Struthio camelus: one gene and its partner. The protein of the gene in region 1 purifies or fractionates together with the protein of each later gene. This does not show direct contact. Links are inferred from orthologs where the notes say so. Each region holds a gene or a part of one and is shown on either strand. Other genes may lie near its edges.

The links. Proteins that work in one complex are often made in the same cells at the same time.
Region 2: the proteins of SLC39A12 (region 1) and NAT14 purify together in Homo sapiens (co-immunoprecipitation; 3 studies listed by BioGRID and IntAct, counting the BioPlex papers as one, with this or other methods). This does not show direct contact. The link is inferred for Struthio camelus from reciprocal best matches to the Homo sapiens genes SLC39A12 and NAT14.

Annotation. Positions count from the first base shown.
Region 1 is NC_090943.1:23,505,153-23,512,415, reverse strand, and holds the start of SLC39A12 (zinc transporter ZIP12), read left to right. Parts: upstream 1-4,257; 5' UTR 4,258-4,281; coding exon of another isoform or gene 4,282-4,348; intron 4,349-5,460; 5' UTR 5,461-5,543; coding exon 5,544-5,813; intron 5,814-7,263. UniProt on the Homo sapiens protein: Uniporter that promotes Zn(2+) import from the extracellular space to the cytoplasm across the cell membrane. The transport activity is temperature dependent. May play a role in neurulation and neurite extension.
Region 2 is NC_090975.1:1,178,242-1,185,446, reverse strand, and holds the start of NAT14 (probable N-acetyltransferase 14), read right to left. Parts: upstream 3,002-7,205; 5' UTR 2,937-3,001; intron 2,335-2,936; exon of another isoform or gene 2,198-2,334; 5' UTR 2,113-2,197; coding exon 2,035-2,112; intron 1,814-2,034; coding exon 1,286-1,813; 3' UTR 1-1,285. Other genes in the region: zinc finger protein 628-like, read right to left, coding at 4,313-7,205. UniProt on the Homo sapiens protein: Probable acetyltransferase. May act as a transcription factor that regulates the expression of coproporphyrinogen oxidase by binding to a promoter regulatory element.

The DNA.
Region 1 (7,263 bases):
TGAACTCTCAAATGAACAATATGGTATACAGCTTTCTCAACTCTCCTCTTTTTCTTACCCCAGAAATATTCCTACTGTGACTTGAGTTGTTAATAATTAAGTTAGTGTTTAATGTTTTGACAGTTAGCTCTGCGTTCCTTTTTTTTTTTTTTCTTTACCGACATAGCTACATATGCTCTCCATTCAGCAATGGAGAGATTGTGTGATGGACAAGTTTGAAGAAAGATGGGTGAGTTAATGAGATTTTAGATCACACTTTCCATATAAATGAACACTATTTTTGTTAACCTATATAAGCTTTCATACCGGAACATCTTAAGGCAGTAAATTCCACAGATAAATTCTACAATATGTAAAAAAGTACTTCTGAAGTTACATTTCTCAAAGCACAGGAGGCTTTGCTGGCTTGGAGAGGAAGTAATTCATGAGTTCTTTCTTTTCTATTCTAATATAGCAAGATTTTCAAATCTTTCTTAGGAACTTTCTGCTGACTAACAGTTGAATTCAGAAATCCTGGCCTAATACAGGGCTTGCTCTAGACATATTTATTAATATATATAACTTAGATAAAAATTTAGTTAGCATTCATTTATTTTAGTTCATTGGAAATCTTAATATAAATGATATTGTTAGAATTGACATGAGGCCAATGAAGCTGAATTGACTATGGTGATTTTAAAGCACTAACATTTTGTATTGTAGCACTCCAGCATTGATTCCTTGGCAAAGATGCTTTATATATTCAAATTCTACACAAATTACATGCAAAATGAAGTCCTTTCATCTGTCAGTATGCTGCCTATGGCTGTAATTATAGCAGTGTGCACACATCACATTAATAATATGGAGGAAATCTGCAGTACCATAGGATCCTCTTCTATTTGCCATAATTGCTGTGATTAGTAAAAGGGCAGAAAACGCATTTGCTTAGTCCGTGAAAATAAGTTATACAGTATTTAAGAAACGAAAGTTATACATAGCTGCATTTCTCAGTAAGCCGTGAAGTTCAGCAGGGGTCTTGCTAAAATGATGCCTATATTCTCTCCCATTATGTTGTACAAATAAAAGTAAGCTCTTTGCCAGGTTGGTGGAGCTCATAGGAATGTCCTTGTCATTACAGAGGTAGTTCTCTAAAGAGTTTTCCTGTTCCTACATCATTTATTCCTTGATCCTTTGAAGGACAGTAAATTGTAGAGTGCAGTGATGACATTTGTGAATGGGTGACTTGCTTTTGTTCTCCCATCAGGTGAGAGGGTGGGAGAAGCAACAAGATAAGCTGCAGTAAAGTCTTACTGGCTCGCTTAAAACTAAAACCAAAAAAATAAATAAAAATCTTGTAACCAAACAGGGTTTGCTGCATGTGCTTATCATATTCTGTGTCTGGTTATGCCATGTGTAAATTGTCTTCACGCCTACTCATGCAAATGAAAGTTAAGATATTATCATATGATCATATTGAAATTGAATTTGTATGTGAAGAAAATTTGATATGCACTGTCTGAGGTCAAGAACCCAATCATGCAATTAGATAAGAGTTTTTAGAAATTTCCATTTTTATCACTCTTTTTTTCACCTTCGCACTTCTATTATTCATTTTTCCTGGGACATGTATCTCTTGTCTGCCAGCAATCAGTTACTGTCTTGCAAGTATTCTTCCACAGTGTATCTCTTCAAACTGATTAAAATGATTGTATCTGCGAGTCCTTGACCTCAGATCCTTACTCCAGTGTACTAAGTTATTTGTGGTGTAGAATGGAATTTTAAAAAGTTTCATTTGTTTATTTAATCATGAAGTTCAAGATATGTCATGTTAGAATGACAAGCCACTTTGATCTGAGGTATCCCTGTTCTCTAATACCTCTGAGGCCTTTTTCTGTAGCACATATTGTAATTCTTTAGTAAGCAGAGAATCACTAGATTATGAGCATTGTACAGAGTTTCTGCACAGACCTTGTTTCCTTTTATTAAAAAACACTGAGAGACATGCAATCAAATTTAAGCCAAAATGTCAGAAATTGTTATAATAAATAAGAGAATAATAGAATAATAGTGATAGCTGCTTCCTGAGGTTTTGAGGCATTAAGCTGTCAGTGGATCTTTTTCTGTCTGTGTATCTCAGCAAAATTCCAAGAAGTTTTTAACTGCATAGTTCTGTTATTTTCACTGTCCCATTTTATCAGTTGGCATAATGTCAACATGGGTAGGTGGTATGGGCATAACACTATTAAGGAAATGTTTGAAAAAAGAGTTAACAATTGATTTTACAAAGTACTTCAAAAGCAGTAATCTCAACCTATGTAGACAGAAAAAAGCTTTGATCACGACTGGATGACTGAAAGCAGAGGTAATGCTCTGAAGTCAGGGTTGAAAGCAGAGATTTAAACTTGAGTCACCATCAGTGATATCATCACCACCGAGAAACTCATTTACAAGCCAGAGAACGAAAGAAGTTTGCAACAGTTAGTCTTACAAGGGGAAGTCAGTTCTGCTTTGAAATCAGCCACGGTAGCCTATAACCATTATTATCTATTACTTTTTAGTGCACTATATATTTATTTTTGTCATCACTGTGTAGTATAAATGTTAATGTAAGATATTACCAGTATTATTATGTAAACCTCTCAGCAGCTTTCAGTAGTTACAAGTCATCAAATGTGTATTTTTGTATGTTAGCTTCTCTCAACAAGTTGAAATAATTCTCCCTTTGCTTGTACACATGCTAGTTGTAGAGAATAAATTCTGAGTTTTAATTTGTAATTGTATATGAAACACCAAATCATGTACAGATAAACCTATTCTGTGTTAGTTTAGAGACTTAGCAATCCCCAGGCTTAAGTGCTGGAAGCCATTCCCTCATTATCTGAGTAATTATTTTTTATTAGTGGAACAAATGTGGATGTAGTTAGTTTTGTTTCACAGTGGGAATTACGTGGAGGCCAGAGGAGATGCTTGTAGTCATGTGCTTCTGCCTTTTTGGTCTTCATATGGAAAAAATAAAGCAAATTTTTGGGATGAAAATTCCTGTACTTCCTGTTTGCATTAAGATGAAACTTTAGCAATTTTAGTTTGATAAAAATCTTCTGTAATTTGTAAAGGTAAAATAATATGTTTTGATTAAAATGTCAGGGTTTCTTTGTACTTGAATAGCTAATAATAGGACTGTTTTTTAGAACACTCGGCTTTGACCACAAAAGAGTTCGTACACACTTCCATGTGCTTGTACCTTATATTTGTGAGAACATTTGTTTACGTTTTGCATTTCGCTCAAGCTGCTGTGGTCGGTTTCCTTTTTGTTTATAGTCAGTATCAGTTGCCAGTTCTCAGACTTTAATCCAAGATAATTTCCTTTGAGCGCACCATCCTGTAGGAGACATTACTTGCATTTTCGTACTACTTGCATTTTCTCGATCTAGTTTTAAAGAGAATTATACTATTTCCATTACTGTTAAGGTAAGCTGGCTTGCTGCTACACGAGATTTGAAGAATCAGCTGAGATGATAATTCTTCATTATTACACTCAAGGTTTGGGAGATGGGAGAATGATATATCTGGTGTATCTGTTGCTGTGAAATCCATCATGACATTTTTCACTAAATTCCAATGTGAGAATATTGTAGTGGCATGGTGAGATAAAACTCAACTTTGCAGCAGCATCCCTCAGCAAATCTGAGTGGGTGGAAAATATGTTTTTCACCACAGCCTGAACTATCCCGGCTTTTTTAATTGTTGCAGATGTGGCACAGAATGAGTGGGGATGAAAGGGCCTGTTCTCTATGGATACTGTTTTCTTAAGAAGAATACCACTTTTTTATGGAGCTGCTTGAAAAGATTTCTATTCTGTTTTCATATTTGCAAAAAGAAGTAATAATTTGATTAAAAAATTTGTAATGTTTTGATTAAAAATGAAATTCAAGTATTTTAGAAAATTGCCCAGATAATTCACTAAAGTAGAGGACACTTAGGGTGCCTGCATGTATTATTGATCATAGTTAAATATATTTTTCAATAGATGTTATACATCTTGACATCTGCTGAAATAAAGTGAGGACTGTTTACATAAAATGATAACTACTAAAATAATTTGTTAAATACATTCAATTATGTGATGCTTAGAACTTGCCAAGAAGAACATGTACTAATTCCTATCCACCTCCATTGTTACCTTAAGAGCAACTCTCTCCATAGCAACTGAAAACTTTTCAAGGCAGCAATAAACTAATCCTCTCCAGCTTCCAGAGAACCATCAAGGAATTTTAAAAACATTGGACTTCCAGCAGCTAAATGCTTCTGCGGATTCAAAAGGCCACAAAGCTAGAGACATATAATCATTCTTTTTTCCCTACAGAAGGTAAGAAAATAATGTTTAGAAATAAATGCATCCCCATAACTATGACACATATTCCTCACTGCTAACAGCAAAATTTATCTAAACACCAAAGCTTTTCCTAGCATCTAAAACATACTAATCTTTCTCTGAATGCCAATGTGAATTCAGCAGTTATTTTTTTTCATTTTAAATACTCTGTTAGCAGTTTTCTTTAAAATGTCACATATGTATTATATGGTAGTTAAAAGAAGCTGAACTTGTGTGACTGTCTAAGCTATGTGTATTATCATCAGCAAATTTATGTAGCTGCCAGCATCTACCCATCAACAAATTGAAAAACTCCTAGTGTAAAACAGAACCTAAACTCTTTTATCCTTCTTGTGTTTTGATACTGAGATACGTATCGTTAAAGCAGAATGTTAGTGTCTTAGGAAGGATATTGCCAAGACAGATTTACAGTACAGAATGTTGTTTCCATCTAGGATTTCAAAAAGTTAAACTGATTGCTTCTGGTATATTTGTCTTGTTTAATCATTGAGTTGTATGAATGAACTTCTTACCTCAGTTCTTTAACTCTTTCATCTGACCATAAAGTATCACTAATTTTTAGGCAATTATGTTAATTCTTGTTTAGTGTTGTACAGCTGAAGTTAAGTAATATTGGTAAAGTGTTTTGAAAGTAAAACCTGCTCTGCATCAGTGCTGTGTAACATAATTACTGCACGTTCATATCAAGATTACCCTAGTGATCTTTATTTACACCTATTACTGCTTCTAAAACCCTGTTTCATAAAGGAGTGAAAGTGAAAGCTATCGTATTTTCCTGTTCTGCTGAAGAGGATTATTAGTGAATGCAATAACATAACACTGAAATGAAAACCATGCAGTTTACTTTTATGAGGAGGGTCAGGCAGTTTTAGTCAACCTCTTGCTGGTAATTCTACAGGAGTTTTAAGGCCATGGTCGTCTTAGTTTCCTGCTGTTCTGAGCTGTAAAGTCCCTACAGGCTCCCTGTTGTTCAAAAACAGCTTGTCACTGCAAATCAGCTTAGCCAACCAATTAATAAATCCTCGCAAACATATTGCAGACACACTAATTAAAGGGTTGGGGTTTTTTTCCCCTTTACTATTCAGATTCCTCAGGTTTCAAGTTTAAGCTGTGAAGTGCAAACAACAATCGAACATTCAGTACAGATCACGCACGGCAGGAAGAGGAGATGTGTTTTCTGACCAAGCATCCAGCTCTTGGGGTGGTATGTTCTGCTTTCATATTCAGCGTGCTCATTGCTGAAGGACAGTCTGGGGAAGAGCATGGGCAGGATGGCAGCTCTGCTCCCAGCCGAGGCTATCTGATGGAAGTTTTACGCATTCTTTCAGCTGACAACACTGAGCTCCACAAGAACCACTCACGAGAACTGGTCAAAACGTTACTGGAGAGAGCTGAGTGCCCACAGCGGATTTATGGCATGCGAGAGGATTGTAATCTGGTTAGTGCTTCAATTAATGAGGGAAACCTTTATAGGATAGTCAGTGAGTTCTAAAATTATTTCTTAGACTGACACCCTCCTGAATACAAAAGTAAACATGTAAAAGGCTTCTTCTTACAGCAAAAGTGATAGTCCTTGCTTTAACTGTTTCATCGTAAGTTATGAATATTTCTTGTTTGATCTTATAGAGATATTCCAAACATGATAGGTATACCTTAAAAATTCCATATTCCTTTCAGATAAGAGTAAAAATTTTCCTTTCAAAGCTTTCAAATGTTTATTTTCTGGGAAGGATTTTTTTACTTTTTGCTGATCTAACTTTAAAAGCTAGAGCTTGAATTTGGGACACAGAGAATTTCTACTGTAGAAAGACATTGGTAAAAATGGGGGGAGCAGTTCTGTCAGTTTTTTTGTTATGGATTTTAGTTCATAAAAATAAATCACAGCCAGGATTGTTTGAGATTCATGTGCCACTTCACTGAAGTATCTAGGATTGATCCAACAATGGATCTGCAAATCCAGATTTGACATAGTTCAGGGTACAGCTTCACAGAAGGTTCAGTTGTCTAGCTGAATTGAGAATACTTTCAGAACTGATTCCTGATTTGATCAGGAAAGGGACAAGAGCTATGAGATCTTAGGTTCTAGTAGGTAGGAGGGAGATGGTGCCTCAGCTTGGCATTTTCTTTCCCACACTAGTTGACACTAACTAATTGGTTTCAAACTCAACTTTCCCTTCTAAATCCAGGATTCCTGTAACACCAGACCACTTTGTTTTCATTTTTTTCTTCATTTGTAATGATGCATGCAGTGGATATTTAAAATAATGCAGCAATGTTCTAACTGTTTTTTAAACCCCTTTTTGGTTTGTTTTTTAAACTGGCCCCCTAGAGCGTTTGTGAAGGGACTAGCATCTCTTAAACAGCATCTGACACTCTTTTATCTCCCAAGCATGCAAAAGGCATATATTTCTTGCAGTGGTAAGGGATTTTTCTTCTGACTCCTGGTTGCCTAAACAAAGCAAACTCAGGGCTCTGTGCCTAGGTTCAGAGCTAGGCTCTTTGTTATAGCAAATAAGCTTTTCTAAACATAGGCCATGTGCATGATTGTGCCTCTAAAATTCTAGTAATAGCAAAATAACCAGTGATGAATCAATTTATATTCTCTTGATATCATCTTGTGGGCTACCTAGATACTATGAAATAACAACATCTTTTACAATGTACCTGCTTCCTTGCAGTTAGCAATTTCCTTTTCAGTCATCTTCCTTGCTAGAGTAAACAGCTTTGCTGATTACAGTTTATCCTTACTAGCTCTTGAAATACTGTAAAAGTCTTTGAAAATCTTCTGTTACATGCCTGATGTTTCTTATACACCCTAGGATGTATTTGAAAAAGCTGATTGACTAACTTGAGGCCTCTAAGGGACAGAAAACAGAATACTTATGCTC
Region 2 (7,205 bases), on another chromosome or scaffold:
GTCACTCGCCCCCCACGCACGGGGCTGGGCTGGCAGCAGGATGGGGTGCAACGTGGTCTGGGGGGGGGTGCACAGACCCCTGGATGCTCCAGTCACCAGGGACACTCAGGTGCAGCATCTTCCTCCCAGCCCGGCCCAGCCACGGCCCGGGCATGCAAGGGTTAAGGCTGGAAGAGCTGGGCGCCACGCACAGCCTGACACCCCGGGGACACACGTGCACTGGCGCACACGCGCCCACGCGCCTTGCTGTCCGCACGGGCAGAGGCGCACGCCCTGCTGTTGCACGGCCACGTGCACAGACGCACACGCCCTGCCCTTGCACAGCCACATGCACAGACGCACACGCCTTGCCTTTGCACAGCTACGCATGCACATACCCTTCTGTTGCATGGCTACCCGTGCACACCCCCCCCCACCTTTGCACAGCCACACGTGCACGAGTGCACATGCACTGCTGTTGCGCGGCCACACGCACACACATGCTCTGCCATGACACAGCCACACATGCACAAACGCGCTTGCACTGCCGGTGCACGGCCACATGCGCACAGGCCCTGCCACGGCATGGCCACGTGTGCACAAATGCATGCATACTGCTGGCGCATGGCCACACGTTCACACGTGCCCTGCCACGGCACGGCCACATGTGCGTGGTCGCATGTCCTGGCGTTGTATGCACACATGAATGGAGGAACACACAAAGCCACACATGCACATGTGCCACCGTTGCCCAGTGGGGACAAACAGGGGGCACAGCAGGGCAGTACTGGGAGAACAGTGGGCTACACTTGGGGGGGGGGGGTCATAGGGTCATACTGGGGGGCGCAGCGTGGCTGTACCCTGGGGTCAGCATGGCTGACTGGCGAACCAGCGGGGCTATAATGGGAATCATCAGGCCATATCAGAGGGGAACACTGGGGACATAGTGGGAGCCATTGGGTCAGACTGGGGGGACGTTGGGGCCACACTGGGGGCATCAGCAGGGCCATATTGGACATGACAGGGCCATATCCGAAGGGAACAACGGGACCATACTGGGAGTCAGTGGGCCACACTGGGGGAATCATTGGGTCATACTGAGGGGGACAATCAGGGCCATCCTGGGGGCAATATGGGCGTCACAGGGCGACACTGGGTGCCAGCAGCACCATGCAGGGGCCCCCCCACCCTGCCCACCACCCCAGGGTGACGCAAGGAGGAGCGGGAGCCAAGGTGGGTGGGTGCCGGGGCAGGGGGGTGGGTTTATTGGCGGGTGCGCGGGCAGAGGGGGCAGCACCCCCGGGCGCTAGAGCTCCTTGCTGAACTCGTGCAGCACAGCGCAGCCCAGCCAGGCGCGGGGGCCGCTGCGCCGGCGGTACCCGGCGCCCTCCAGCAGAGCCCGGGCGGCTGGGGCGCCGGCGGGCACCCGCAGCACCAAGCGCTCGTAGCCCTGCGCCCGGGCCCGGCCCTCGAGGAAGGCGAGGAGACGGCGGGCAACGCCGGCGCGCCGGTGCCGGCGGCCCACGGCCAAGCGGGAGAGCTCGGCCTCCTCCTCGCTGGCGCGGGGCTCCAGGGCAGCGCAGCCGCGTACCGCCGCCTCGCCGGGGGCCACGGCCACCCAGAGCCCCGCGGCGGGCAGGGGCCGCCGGTGGGGCCCGCGCCAGGCAGCCGCCTTGAGCAGGGCCCCGCTCAGCGCCAGCGGCAGCAGCAGGGCGGCGGGCAGCGAGCCCAGCAGCAGGCGCAGGGCGCTGCTGGCCACCGCCAGCAGCAGCAGGGCAGGGGGCCGCGTCAGCACGTGCAGGATCAGGCGGGTCTCGGCGTCCTGGAAGGCGTCCTGGGGAAAACACAAAGGGAAACGGGGGCGTTGGGGGGGGGGGGTGCAGGGGTACCCAAGGGTACACCATAAGGGCACACCCCAGGGTACACACGTTGGGGCAACTGGGGGCACCGTAGGGGCAGGTTGCAAGGCACCCATAGGCAGTTGCAGGCACCCCAGGGTGCATCATTGGGGGCTGGTTGCAAAGGCACCCTAGGGTGCCCCGGGGCAGGGCGCACCTGGAGCAGCTGCAGGACGGCGGGGGCTTCGTCGGGCCGCATGGGACGGATGGTGAGCGGGGCGGCGGACGCTGGCATGGTGGAGGTGTGCTGGGCTGCCAGGATGCTGCGCCGCGGGGGTCAGGGGGTGGCACCCCCCTCCCGGCTCCCCCGGGTCGTCCTGCTGTGAGGGCAGCAGTGACCTCCGGTACCCCCCTCCCATACTGTCCCCCAGCCTGACCTCAGGTCACCCAGTGACATCTGGCCCCAATGTCCTCCCGAGTGCCCCCTATCCCGGCCTCAGGGCCCCCTAGTCTGATCCAAGCCCCCCCCAGTGCCCCCCAGTCTGATCACAGTGCCACCCCAGTGTCCCCTATCCCGGCCTCAGGGCCCCCTAGTCTGATCCAAGCCCCCCCCCAGTGCCCCCCAGTCTGATCACAGTGCCACCCCAGTGTCCCCTATCCTGGCCTCAGGGCCCTCTAGTCTGATCCAAGCCCCCCCCAGTGCCCCCCCCCAAACTCAGGGCTCCCCAGTGCCCCCCAGTCTGATCACAGTGCCACCCGAGTGTCCCCTATCCTGGCCTCAGGGCCCCCTAGTCTGATCCAACCCCCCCCAGTGCCCCCCAGCCTGATTTCAGGGCCGCCCAGTGACACCCAGTGTCCCCCCCCCACTGCTCCCCATCCTTCCCAGTGTCCCCCACCCTCAGCACCTCCCTCGCCCCCGCCCTTTGGCAACGGTGGTACAACCGGCCCCCCCCACCCAGCCCCGCCCGGTGGTGCGGCCCGCTGCCCCCCGCCGCCCAGCCCCCCTCGCGCCGTCCGGTGGCACGGCCCGCTTCCCCCCCCCCCGCCCCCGGCACGTGGGGCGGCCGCGCTCCCCCCCCGCCGCCGATGGACCCGCCCAGGCCGCGCCGCGCCTCTCACCGCCGAGCCGCGGCCGGGCCGCGCCGCACCACGCAGGCGCCGCCCGCCGGCCCCGCCCCTAGCGGCAGTTGCCAGGGTGCCCTCCTCCCTCTACCCCCCCTCCCCCCGCCCCGCCTGCGCGTGCGCACAGGGAAGGAGGAAGCGCCCGCCGGGACAGCAGCGTTTATTGAGCCGCGCCGGGAGGACCCAGGTGTCCGGAGGAGCCAGGCGTCCTCCGACCCCCCTCCTCCTGCGGGTCCTCGCCCCAGCGCAGGGGGGACCCAGGCGTCCTGGAGCCCATAACCCCCAGCGCAGGGGGGACCCAGGCGTCCTGGAGCCCGGCCCTCCCAGGGCACGCACCCCAGTGCAGGGGGAACCCAGGCGTCCTGGAGCCCATAACCCCCAGTGCAGGGGGGACCCAGGCGTCCCAATGCCCGGACCTCCCAGGGCACGCACCCCAGTGCAGGGAGGACCCAGGTGTCCTGGTGCCCGGCCCTCCCAGGGCACATACCCCAGTGCAGGGGGGTCCCAGGTGTCCTGGTGTCCGGCCCTCCCAGGGCACATACCCCAGTGCAGGGGGGTCCCAGGTGTCCCAGTGCCCGGACCTCCCAGGGCACACACCCCAGTGCAGGGGGGACCCAGGCGTCCCAATGCCCGGACCTCCCAGGGCACGCACCCCAGTGCAGGGGGGTCCCAGGTGTCCCAGTGCCCGGACCTCCCAGGGCACACACCCCAGTGCAGGGGGGACCCAGGCGTCCCAGTGCCCGGACCTCCCAGGGCACGCACCCCAGTGCAGGGGGGTCCCAGGCGTCCCGGTGCTCGGACCTCCCAGGGCACGCACCCCAGCGCAGGGGGGACCCAGGCGTCCTGGAGCCCGGCCCTCCCAGGGCACACACCGCAGTGCAGGGGGGACCCAGGCGTCCTGGAGCCCGGCCCTCCCAGGGCACACACCGCAGTGCAGGGGGGACCCAGGCGTCCTGGAGCCCAGACCCTCACAAGGTCATACAGCCTTTGCAAGAGGACCTGGGTGCTCTGGAGGCCAGACCGCCCTGTGACATGCACCCCCATGGAGGGAGGACCCAGGAGTCCTGATGCTCAGTTCTCCTTGGGGGACCTGCACAGGGGTACCCAGGAGTCCTGGGGCTGAGCTCATCATGGCCCCCACACCCCAGCACCCAAGGGACCCAGGAGTCCTGGTGCTGAGCCGCCTATGGCTCCTGCACCCCATTGCTGAGCAGATCCAAGAGTCCTGGTGCTGAGTTCATCATAGCTCCCGCACCCCAGCACCCAAGGGACCCAGGAGTCCTGGTGCTGAGCCCCCTGTGGCTCCTGCACCCCAGGGCCCAGGGCTGGCCGTGGAGAGGACCCCGGCGTCCTGCCCTGGGGTTGGGCCCCGCTCAGAAGGTGTGAACCAGCTGGACGCTGGGCACCGTCTGCACGATCTGGATGGCGGGCAGGTCCGGGGCCGGGGGGCCAGGCAGGAGCTGCACCATGGCAGGACCACCAGCAGGCCCTGGCATTGCCCCAGTGCTGCTGGGCGCCCCCCGCGCCTGCGCGGAGAGCTGGCCCCCGGCCCCCGGCACATTCTCCAGCACCTGCAAAGTGGGCTCGCTGCGGATGATGAAGAGTTTCTGCCCACCAGGGGCCTCATCCGGCGGCAGCTCCGGCAGGTTTTCCACCTCCTGCACGCAGAGTCGCGTCTGCTCGCCATCGGCGCCGCGCAGCACCAGCACGTTCTGCAGCCCCTCGGCCGTCTGCAGCATCTCCAGGTGCACGTCCTGCACCCCAGCCAAGCCGCCCACCTCCGACCCCGGCCCCAGCAGCTCCTCGCCCTGCCCGCTCTGTACCACGATCACGTCCTGCCCCTCTGGCAGCCCCGCAGCACCCCGCAGCTCGGGGCCGCTCGGCAGGCTCGGCCCTGTCACAGGCTCAGAGGGTTGGGACAGGGTTTGGAGCTGCACCCGGGTGCCCTCGGGGGTTTGGAGTTGGACGTTCGTCACCTCGGGGGTCTGGAGCTGGACATTGGTCACCTCCGAGGGCTGCGGCAAGGATTGGAGCTGGACACCGGTCACCTCCGAGGGCTGTGGTAAGGTTTGGAGCTGGACATTTGTCATCTCCGGGGGCTGCGGCAGGGCTTGGAGCTGGATGTTGGGCATCTCGGAGGGCTGCGGCAGGGCTTGGAGCTGGACGTTTGTCACCTCGGTGGCCTGGAGCTGCACATTGGCCATCTCAGTGGCCTGGAGCTGGACACCGGTCACTTCAGAGGGCTGCGGCAGGGCCTGCAGTTGGATGTTAGTCACCTCGGATGGCTGCGGCAGGGCTTGAAGCTGGACATTTGTCACCTCGGTGGCCTGGAGCTGCACATTTGTCACCTCGGAGGGCTGCGGCAGTGTTTGCAGCTGGACGCTGGCCACCTCGGAGGGCTGCGGCAGGGCTTGCAGCTGGACGCTGGCCACCTCTGGCGGTGCCGGCAGAGCCTGCACCCGCAGGGCGCTCACCTCTGCCGACGGCTGCTCAGGGACGTTCTGCAGCACGATGACGCTGGCCCCAGGTGCGAGGCCTGGTGCCCGCTGAGCGCCCGCCAGTGCCTGGATCTGCACACCGGGCAGGGCTTGCCCCGCACTGGGCACCAGCAGGATGCTCTGCCCGGCTGCCGGCGGTGGGTTGGCAGGCGCCACCGCTTTCGGACCCTTCTCCTGCCGGCGCGGGGCAGCTTTGCTGGGTGGTGCGGGCAGCAGGGCGAAGCCAGGGCTAGCAGCTTTTGGCTGCGGCGCAGGGAGGAGGATAAGCTTCTGCGGCGGGTGGGGGACACTGGGTATGAGCTGCAAGCCCTGTGCCGTCTGCACCAGCAGGAAGGTCTGGGCGTTGGGGGCGGTGGGTGGGCTGCCCACCTCCAAGCTGAGCGCAGCGGGCTGAACGTGGGACCCATCTCGCACGGGCGGCACCTTGGGGGCGGCAGGCGCCTTGGGGCCAGCGGCATGGGTGCGGAGGTGACGCTGTAGGTAGGAGGCCATGACAAAGGCCTTGGAGCAGACAGGGCACTGGTAGGGCCGGGCGCTGGAGTGGGTGCGCTGGTGGAGCTGGAGGTTGGAGGAGTGGGTGAAGGTCTTGCCGCACTGGGCGCAGGCATAGGGGCGCTCGCCGGTGTGGGTGCGCTGGTGCTGCCGCAGGTTGGAGGTCTGGGTGAAGGCCTTGCCGCACACCAGGCAGGCGTAGGGGCGCTCGCCCGTGTGCAGCTGCCGGTGCCGACGGAGGCAGGAGGTGTTTTTGAAGGCCTTGGGGCAGTCCGGGCAGGCGTAGGGGCGCTCGCCCGTGTGCAGCCGCAGGTGGTACTGGTAGTGTGAGGACCACTTGAAGGTGAGGCCGCACTCAGCGCACTTGAAGGCTCGCAGCCCCGTGTGCACCCGCTGGTGGATGGAGAGCAGCGAGGAGCGCTTGAAGGCCTTGCCACACTCGGAGCACTTGTAGGGTCGCTCGCCCGTGTGGTCGCGCATGTGGTAGCGCAGCCCCGAGGAGCCCTTGAAGGCCTTGCCACACTCGGTGCACTGGTAGGGGCGCTCGGCGGGGGCTTGGGCGGGCTCAGGCGCCGTTTGGGGACATGTCACCTCGGCCTCAGCCTGGATGAGCTGCTGCTCAGCGGGGTGGCTGCGTTGGTGGCCCAGCAGGCTAGCCAGCTGCATGAAGGTCTTCTCGCAGACCGAGCACTTGAAGGGACGCTCGCCGGTGTGGCTGTGCTGGTGCCGTGCCAGCCCAGAGCTGTTCTTGAAGGCTTTGCCGCACGTGGGGCAGTTGTGCGTCGCCGTGGGCGCCTCGTCACCACCAGGGCCCGGGCCGGGTGTCCCTACCTCCAAATGGCTCTGCTGGTGGCCCAGCAGCAGCTCCTCGCTCTTGAAGGTCAGCTCGCAGTCACCGCACTTCCAGAGCATCTCCACTGTCTCCACGGCCTCGGGAGGTGCCAGGAAGAGCGGCGGTGGGGCCAAGGGGCTGCCGGGCGGACGGGCGGCGTGGGTCTGCAGGTGTTTCTGCAAGTAGGCGTCCGAGACGAAGGCCTTGGAGCAAGCCGGGCACTTGTGCGCCCGGGAGCCGGCATGGGTGCGCTGGTGAAGGAGCAGGTTGGAGGAGTGGGTGAAGGTCTTGCCACACTGGGCGCAGGCGTAGGGGCGCTCGCCGGTGTGGATGCGCTGGTGCTGCCGCAGGTTGGTGGACTGGGTGAAGGCCTTGCCGCAGGCCGTGCAGACGTAAGGGCGCTCGCCCGTGTGGATGTGGCGGTGGCGGCGGAGGCTGGAGGAG